Linked DNA regions of Coturnix japonica. The protein of the gene in region 1 purifies or fractionates together with the protein of each later gene. This does not show direct contact. Links are inferred from orthologs where the notes say so. Each region holds a gene or a part of one and is shown on either strand. Other genes may lie near its edges.

The links.
Region 2: the proteins of LZTR1 (region 1) and RIT1 purify together in Homo sapiens (affinity purification with mass spectrometry; 3 studies listed by BioGRID and IntAct, counting the BioPlex papers as one, with this or other methods). This does not show direct contact. The link is inferred for Coturnix japonica from reciprocal best matches to the Homo sapiens genes LZTR1 and RIT1.

The regions. Positions count from the first base shown.
Region 1 is NC_029541.1:986,202-990,006, forward strand, and holds part of LZTR1 (leucine-zipper-like transcriptional regulator 1), read left to right. Parts: intron 1-641; coding exon 642-825; intron 826-2,180; coding exon 2,181-2,350; intron 2,351-3,805. UniProt on the Homo sapiens protein: Substrate-specific adapter of a BCR (BTB-CUL3-RBX1) E3 ubiquitin-protein ligase complex that mediates ubiquitination of Ras (K-Ras/KRAS, N-Ras/NRAS and H-Ras/HRAS).
Region 2 is NC_029540.1:1,802,643-1,807,124, reverse strand, and holds the start of RIT1 (GTP-binding protein Rit1), read left to right. Parts: upstream 1-1,491; 5' UTR 1,492-1,622; intron 1,623-1,793; 5' UTR 1,794-1,804; coding exon 1,805-1,892; intron 1,893-1,993; coding exon 1,994-2,050; intron 2,051-2,230; coding exon 2,231-2,304; intron 2,305-2,934; coding exon 2,935-3,126; intron 3,127-3,844; coding exon 3,845-4,075; 3' UTR 4,076-4,482.

The DNA.
Region 1 (3,805 bases):
CAGATTAGAGGGAAGGTAGGATTAAGGTTTTGAGGCTGGCTGCCTTTTACCTCAATACTACGTGATTTTTCTGCAGTTTGGAGCATTATCCATCAGCTTTACTCACAGCTTCTCACCAAAAACTTGCTGTTGTCCTTCAGCATGTGGTAGCACACTACCTACAGTGAGACATATGGATGTCTCATTGCTCTGCAGTTCATTGCTTAGCCACCCCACAGCTTCATCTTCACCAGGAAAGGCTGTCAGAGCAAAACTTGGAAGTAACAGAGCGGCTTAAAATACTGTTGTGCAGCACTTGAGCTCTGCCATTGCAATGCAGGGATCTGTGGAACTTGCTTCTGCACCTTTCTTCTGCCTTGTCCAAGTAGAGATGCTGTCTCTGTTGGGACAGAATGTGAGCTCAGTGAAATTCATTCACTGATCCAGGTGTTCATTTTTGTTCCCATCCATGTTTGTCACATGGCATGGAACAAACAGGAATTGTAGTGCACGTGGACTACTTGTTATCTTGGGCATAACTTTGAAGATAATGAGGTCTTTGGATAACTGTGCAATGATGAGAAGGGTCTTTGGTTTGATAGTAATCTGTGGTGCTAATGCAGCCTTGTTGCCATGCTGGAGTGTTTTTCCTGTCTCACTAGAAATCGAAGCAAGACATTGAAGATGAGGGACACGCAGCGTGTCAGAAGGATGGCATTGGTGGCAACGTCAAACTGTGCCGCCTGCAGCCGCTGCTGGAAGTGCCCATCCGAGAGGCTGAAGCGCAGCCCTTCGAGGTGCTCATGCAGTTTCTGTACACAGATAAAATAAAATACCCTCGCAAAGGTAGGGCAGCAGGATAAGCACTGACAGCAAACGTTTTTTTGCTATTGTTTGGTCCATTGCAAACTAGGGCTGCACTGAAAGGCCAAGAAAGCCAGTATCTATCATCTCTTCTAAATGCCCAGACAAGGGAGTGCCTCAAGAAGTCCATTAGATGCACACATTGAAGATCCCTGTGTTATTAAGCAGTTGGAGGCCAGGAGGTAATTGCCAGAGATCTCTCAGCTCCAGCACAGCAAATCTGACTCCTGGCCCTGGTACAGTGCTGTTGTGCTGTGAGATTGGCAGTGGGGCACCCAGAGGGAACTCCAGCTGGGGGAGGAAAGGGAGCTGAGGCTGCACAGCACAGGTGTTCAAATGGAGGTGCATCAGCTCTAACACTGGAATCTTTGCTTCAGCTTTGGTTTGAGATCTTTCTATTCTAGAAAAGATCATCTTCAGTAAAATATTAATTTGTATGCAGTTGTTCCAAAGCTTTCCCTGCAAAGCTTAATTAATGAGGATGAGGGAACCTCCTTACTGGCTTCTGCTGACATTACCAGACCCAGCTCTCAGCTGTTCCCCTAATCCTCGGTGTGTTCCTTGCAGGAAGGTTCAGACCAAAGGAGGATTATCACACCCAGCTTCTCCCTTTGTTGCAGCAGGTTGCCCTCCCCCCTGGCCTCCCCAGTTCTCCCCAGTGTTTACCTCTCTGCAGCTTTACCAGTCTGCTGGGATCCTCCCAAGCTCCCACCCTGACTTTGTGTATTCCTGTCTGCTCCTGGGTTCAGGGGGCATTGCCCTGGGGGATCCTCTGTGCTGAGCTAATGGCACTTGGCACGCCTATCAAATGGGATTTTCCTTATTAGACACTGGGAAGCCAAATAGCATGCAAGAAGGCTTTTCTCTGTCAAAATGTAGCTACAGCAGATGGTCAGAGATCCCCTGTGAGGAAAGCAAAGACTGGAGGGTTATTTCTGGAGGCGATGTCTCAATGGCCCCATTGCAGTGGTCAGCCCAGGCCCCACAGCCCCTCTGTGCTGTGTAACCTCAGCTTCTAGGCTGACCTCTGGTCTGTACGTGTCCCATAACTGTCTGCATGTGCTTGAAAAACATTGGCCCAGAAACTCATTCAAGGTGGCTCTTTTACACCTCCATTTTGAGAGATCACTTCTTTCTTATTTTCAGTATCCGCCCTTGGTTTAATCTGGGCAGCAGTGGAACTTTTTATTCTCCATAGACACACTCTTCCAATTGCTGCCCATCGCGCTGTTCTGAACGCTCGGGTTGAGTCAGAAGAAATGCTTGGAGAAAGTTTCTCCTTTTGTTCGGTGAACTCTGGTGCCATGGAAAAGGGCTTTTCTCTCTCGTGCTTTCAGGCCATGTGCAGGATGTGTTGCTCATTATGGATGTGTACAAACTAGCCTTAAACTTCAAACTCTCTCGCCTGGAACAGCTCTGCCTTCAGTATATTGAAGCATCTGTGGATCTGCAGAATGTGCTCATTGTGTGTGAAAATGCTAACAAGCTTCAGCTGGATCAGCTCAAGGTAATCGCATTTTGCATACAAAGTAACTGATAAGAAATTAAAGACAATTTTGATGTAATTAATGTTTTGCAAAAGCTTGTCAGCTTTGCAAATTCGGTTCTCCCCTATAATTACGGCTGCCTGAGTTTGTGTCGGTGTGGATTGTACTGCAGGAGCTTGTGAATATTATACAGGCTTTTTCAATGAGTGATAGTTTTGCATGTCTGTCCTGGAAGATAGAGAGGGCAGAGTGACTTTGTCTCTTCCCCATTTGACTCTCACTGTAGTGAGATGGAAGCAGTGCATTTTCTGGTCACGGGGTTTAATGCTGAGCCTGTTAATGTGTTCTTTCACCTGATCTGATGGAAAACCAAACTCAGTTCTTAGACCTTTGATCTGAAAATCAGTGTTGGCAGCTCTCTGTATGGTGGGACTCTGAGGCGCTTGCTGAAATGCAGAGCTGATACCCACAGCCTTCAGACCGTGCTCTTGCTGCTGTGATCCCACCAAGAGTTACCAGAGCCAGTTCTGCTTCCAGCTGCAGAGAAGCAGCTCTCCACCCAAGACCAGCAATACATGCAAAATCACACAGTGCTGACTGGGACAGCTTGTGCAGAACAGGCCAGAGAGCTGATGCTTACAGCCAGAGTGGGGTTATGCAAACCGGTGTGCATCGGCACTTCCTTGGGCACTGTGCACTGGATGTGGGCAAAGGAGAGGCATCCAGGAGCACAGCAGTCAGCAGCAGTTACGTGCATGCTGGCACAGCCCTTGGTGCGTAGGACTGTGGAGCATCTCAGCACTGATGGATGCATTGCCAATGACAGCAGGTCAGCAGGCTGCATGGCTGCCAGCAGGGCAACAGGGGCTCTTCCACAGTGCTCCACTCGGTCAGGATGCTCTTGGGTTGGCATCCTGGTTCTCAGTGCCCAGTGCTCCTTGTGGCTGAGTGCCATCTGCACGAGGCTGCTCTTCCTGGCATCCCAGGCTTTATTTAAAGCATGGTTTCCGATGGGTCCCACACAGATCCTTGTAGATAGCAGCTGAACTCACTGTGACACAAAATGGAAATTAGTAATTATTCCTTGGCCTAATTTTGGACTCACCTTATGGTGAGCTGGTACAGATTACATTTTTTTTGCTTATTTAAATATCCTGAGGGAAAGCCTTGGTTTGCACTGCCAAATGGGCTGCTTTTTTTTTGTCATTCCCTTCACCGTTCAGCATTAGGTCTGGTTCATTTGTTACCTTTCTCCCACGTGGATTTTTGTAGCAGATTTGGCACATGAGAGCCTGCAAGGTCTCTTTCAGACTGTTTGCAGCCCTGTCAGGAGAGGTTGGGCAAAGTCTACACCATTTCCTGGAAATCCTTCAAGCTCCTTGTACCATTACTGAGTAGTATTGAAGAGTTAAGATCTCTCCACCCTTCTGATTAGATGTTGGGTTCTAATCATGGAAAGCACTGCTGTGTAGGAG
Region 2 (4,482 bases), on another chromosome or scaffold:
CTTGTGAGAAAGGGAAAAGCAGGATCCAATAGTTCAGAGCGATCTGATTGTGTTTCTTGAAGTCGATCCTTTTGCTTTAAGGCACCTCCTGTTGTAACTCCACGTTGTGTTCTCTTTGCAATGTGGTTTAACCCCACGACTTCTGCTTCCAGCCAAGGGATTTAGGGGGGGTGTTTGGCTCTTTGTGGGTCCATCCTGCTGCTGTCACACAGCTGCTCACCCACCTCCAGCAATCCCTGCCTCCTTCATGCAACTCATACGGGACCTGTGGCTCTTCCAAGCTTCTCTCCCACATCTTATAACTCACTTTGATTCCACCCGTTCTGTTTTAAACAAGAAGAGAGAGAGAAAAAGGCAGCGGGTTGGTTTGGCACAGAGCTGAGCCATTGCTTGATCTGAATGGTGTGCATTTATCTCTATGGACATGAAGCACAACGTTAATGGCAGGGCTGGGTGCTGCAGAGCTAATGGGGTGTGGGACAACAGCAGCAGCTCCTGGAACAGCAGCGATGGCTCCGGCCTATCAGTGCAGGGAGCGGCTGGCACCTTTTGTACAAACATTGACTTTTTCCTATGTCTTGTAAATAAATTCAGAACCATGCTTTCATTATAAATAAATGTATAAATGATGTATAAAAACACGCGCTGGTTTGGTGAGCTGCGCCTTTAAATGCCAGCAAGTCGGCGGGGGCGGGGCCAAGGAGGGGCGTGGTCATGTGGGGGGTGGGGCTTAAGTAAGGGAGTGGGGCTTAAAGGGGGCGGGGCTTAAGTAAGAATGGAGGTTTAAAGAGGGCGGGGCTTAATTAGTGGGCGGAGCTTAAAGGGGGCGGGGCTTACGGAAGAATTGGGGCTTAAGGGGGCGGGGCTTTAAGCAAAGAGTGGGGCTTAAAGGGGGCGGGGCTTAGCAAAGGGGTGGTGTTTAGAGGGGCGGGGCTTAAGCAAGGGGTGGGGCTTAAGGGGTGGACTTCAAGGGGGCGGGGCTTAAGTAAGGGCGTGGCTTAGCAAGGGGTGGTGTTTAAAAAGGCGGGTCTCAAGGGGTGGAGCTTAAAGGGGCCGGGGCTTAAGTAAGGGGGCGGGGCTTAGCAAGGGGGTGGTGTTTAGAGGAGCGGGTCTTAAAGGGGGCGGGGCTTAAGTAAGGGCGATGCTTAAGGGGGCGGGGCTTAAGTAAGGGGGCGTGGCCTAACAAGGGGTGTTGTTTGGAGGGGCGGGGCTTAACCAGGGGGTGGGGCTTAAGGGGGCGGGGCGTGAGTAAGGGATGGGATTAAAGGGGGAGGGGCTTAAGCAAGGGGTGGGGCTTAAACGGGGGCGGAGCTTAGGTAAGGGGGCGTGGCTTAGGGGTGGTGTTAAAGGGGGCGTGGGTTACGTAAAGAGGGGTCGTGGCTTTAAAAGGGCGTGGCTTAAGCAAGGGTATGGGCTCAAAGGGGGCGTGGTTTAATTAAGGGGCGTGGCCTAGCAAAGGGGTGTTGTTTAAAGGGAGCGTGTCTTAAGGGGCGTGGCTTAAAGGGGGCGTGGCTCAGTGAGGGGCGGTCTCCCGTTGGCGCGGCCCCGCCGCCATTTTGGGCTCGGCGGCTGCGCTCCGGGCCGGGCCTTGAGGCGGCGGCGGTGTCACGGAGCGGCCTGAGGTGAGCGGGGAGAGGAGCGGCGGGGCCTCATGAAGGGCTACCGGGCCTCACGAAGGGCTGCCGGGCCTCACGAGGGGCTGCTGGGCCTTACGAAGGGCTGCCGGGCCTTATAGAGGGCTGCCGGGCCTCACGAGGGGCTGCCGGGCCTCACGCTGTTTTCCTCCCGTTCAGGAGCTTTGGAGATGGACGCCGGAGCCCGGCCGGGCGGAGCGGGGCAGCCCCGGGAGTATAAACTGGTGATGTTGGGAGCCGGCGGCGTCGGGAAGAGCGGTGAGTGAGGAGCCGGGCGGAGCTCCGCGCTGTGCCGCCGTTGGGGCCGCGTTGGGCATCGTCTGACATTGTTTCTCTTCCATTGTTTCTCTCCATTGCAGCCATGACGATGCAGTTCATCAGTCACCGCTTTCCCGAGGATCACGACCCGACCATCGGTGAGAACAGCCCCCCCCGACCCGCTCAGCCCCCCGCGGTCGCGCTGCTGTGGGTCCGGTGCTTTGAAGTGGGGCTCCCTTTGTGTAACGTTCCCCCTTTGCGTGTGTGTCGGTGATGAATGAGTTTTGCAATGGCGTTCAGTTCACGTTTTGTTCTCCCCCGACGTGCTGCGGATCCAGAGGATGCCTATAAGATACGGATACGCATCGACGACGAACCTGCCAACCTGGATATATTGGATACAGCGGGACAGGTTGGTGAGCAGCATTGAGTGCATGGGAGGATACAGGGATAGAAAGAACCCCACAGCAATGTGCCTTTCTGTTCTTCTGAGTGGCCTTTAGAGCTGTCTGAATTCATCCTTATACCCACAGCATCGCTGTTGTTTAGGCAGCCCAGGCAGCACTTCATTCATGTGTCACTAACACAGCACACGAATGCAATGGAGATCTCATCTCACTGCCCGCACTCAGCACATGATGTGTATTGGCTGATAGTCTTTGGATTGGTTTGACTCCCTTCTTGTACCTAATTGAAATCTCCTCTTTTAGTTTGATATCTCTTCCCTCAGTCTCCTCACAGCAGGCTCTGCTAATGAGCCCGTCCCCTCCTTAATTACAGCCTCTTTAGTAATTGAAAGGCCGCTCTCAGCTCTCCATGCTGAGCAGCCCCAGCTCTCCCAGCCTGTCCTCTTAGGGTACGTATCATCCCTTGGGTCCTTCTACAGATACAAAATACTTCCTTATGTTTATTTCTTTACCAAGGGAAAGGTGGTGTTGATCCCGTAGAGTTTTGTCCTTTGTGTGACAGGATGAGGAGAGAAATGCTTCCAATTTTGAGCAAATCAAACAACGGTTGTGTTTGTGTCGCGCTCTGTTTGTAGGCAGAGTTCACGGCCATGAGGGACCAATACATGAGGGCTGGAGAGGGGTTTATCATCTGCTACTCCATCACAGATCGACGCAGCTTCCACGAAGTGCGTGAGTTCAAGCAGCTCATTTATCGTGTCCGACGCACCGACGACACCCCCGTGGTTCTGGTGGGGAACAAATCGGACCTGACGCAGCTGAGGCAGGTATGTGGCTCCCAAATAGACCTTCCCACCTGCTTCAGAACATGGTGATAGATCGTGTTCTTAATTCCTTTGGGGTTCACTCTGTAGTATGTTGAACATGAGAGCTGTATGAATTTAAACTGGAGTGCTGAATAGCTATAGCTATATATGCATATAGCATGTAACTACCATGGGAGTGAAATCTTCCAGTTGATGCTTTGAGTTTCAGCTGCTCTTGGGCTTTTCCTGTCTTTATTTCCTTCTTTTAATGGGGGTACGGCACTGCATAAACCCCTTGTAAGTATTACAGACCTAAGGATGCGAGTCTGCTAAGAAAGGAGGTGTAATAATGGGGGTAAGAATGAACAGAAAGGGAGCTTCAGCTTAAGGGAATGGTAACTCTTGTCTGTGGGAAACTGACAGACGTTCATTGTGGGCTGAGGGCTGCTCTCATCAGGCATCCAGGACTATATTGTGGGAAGGGAATACTCTCTGAAAGGCTTTTCTTGTTTGAATAACCAGAGCTTCTGTATCTGCTGAGTCTCCTATGGGTGGTTACGTTGCTTGATGGATGAAAGAGAAGAGGGTTTGTAAAGAAAGATGCAGACATGGGTGGAGGTGGGCAGTTCTGGAATGGGGAGGGTGCACACGCAGCTCTTAGCCGTGAACAAGAAGAGAGGAAGGAAGAACCTGCCTGGTTTGGGCTTTCTTGACAAGTATATGGGGTTTTTTTTTGCAGGTCTCCAAAGAAGAAGGTTCTGCATTGGCACGAGAATTCAACTGTCCTTTCTTTGAGACTTCGGCTGCGTATCGTTACTACATCGACGACGTGTTCCATGCTCTGGTGAGAGAAATCCGCAGGAAAGAGAAAGAAGCAGTGATGGCAATGGAGAAAAAATCCAAACCTAAAAGCAGCGTTTGGAAAAGATTGAAATCCCCGTTCAGGAGGAAGAAGGATTCGGTCACTTGAAGAGAACGAACTCCTCTGTAAGAGAAAACATGGGAGCAGCCACTCGTAACCAAAGCGGTTGAATGACAACATTTCAGCAGTAGGTTTAAAGACTGATGGGACTTGTGTGAGGGGGAGCATCACTCTTAGCCATTCTTTTTTGCTTCAAATGATATTCTCTCTTAGTTCTGGATATTTAACTCGAGACACGGTAACAATTTGACTTCTGTTTGTTGTCATTTTTAGACCGGATTCTCCAAATACTGCTTGTATGTTGGTTACAGATGCTGGTAGGTTTCTGACGCTGCACTTTTTGGTCGCTGCATTGAGTTGTTTTAAGAGGTAAAAAAAAACAAACAAGATGCTGAATTTCTACCCAACTTAATTCAATCCTGTTTCTCAGTTGTTTGCACAACAAAATGTTGCTG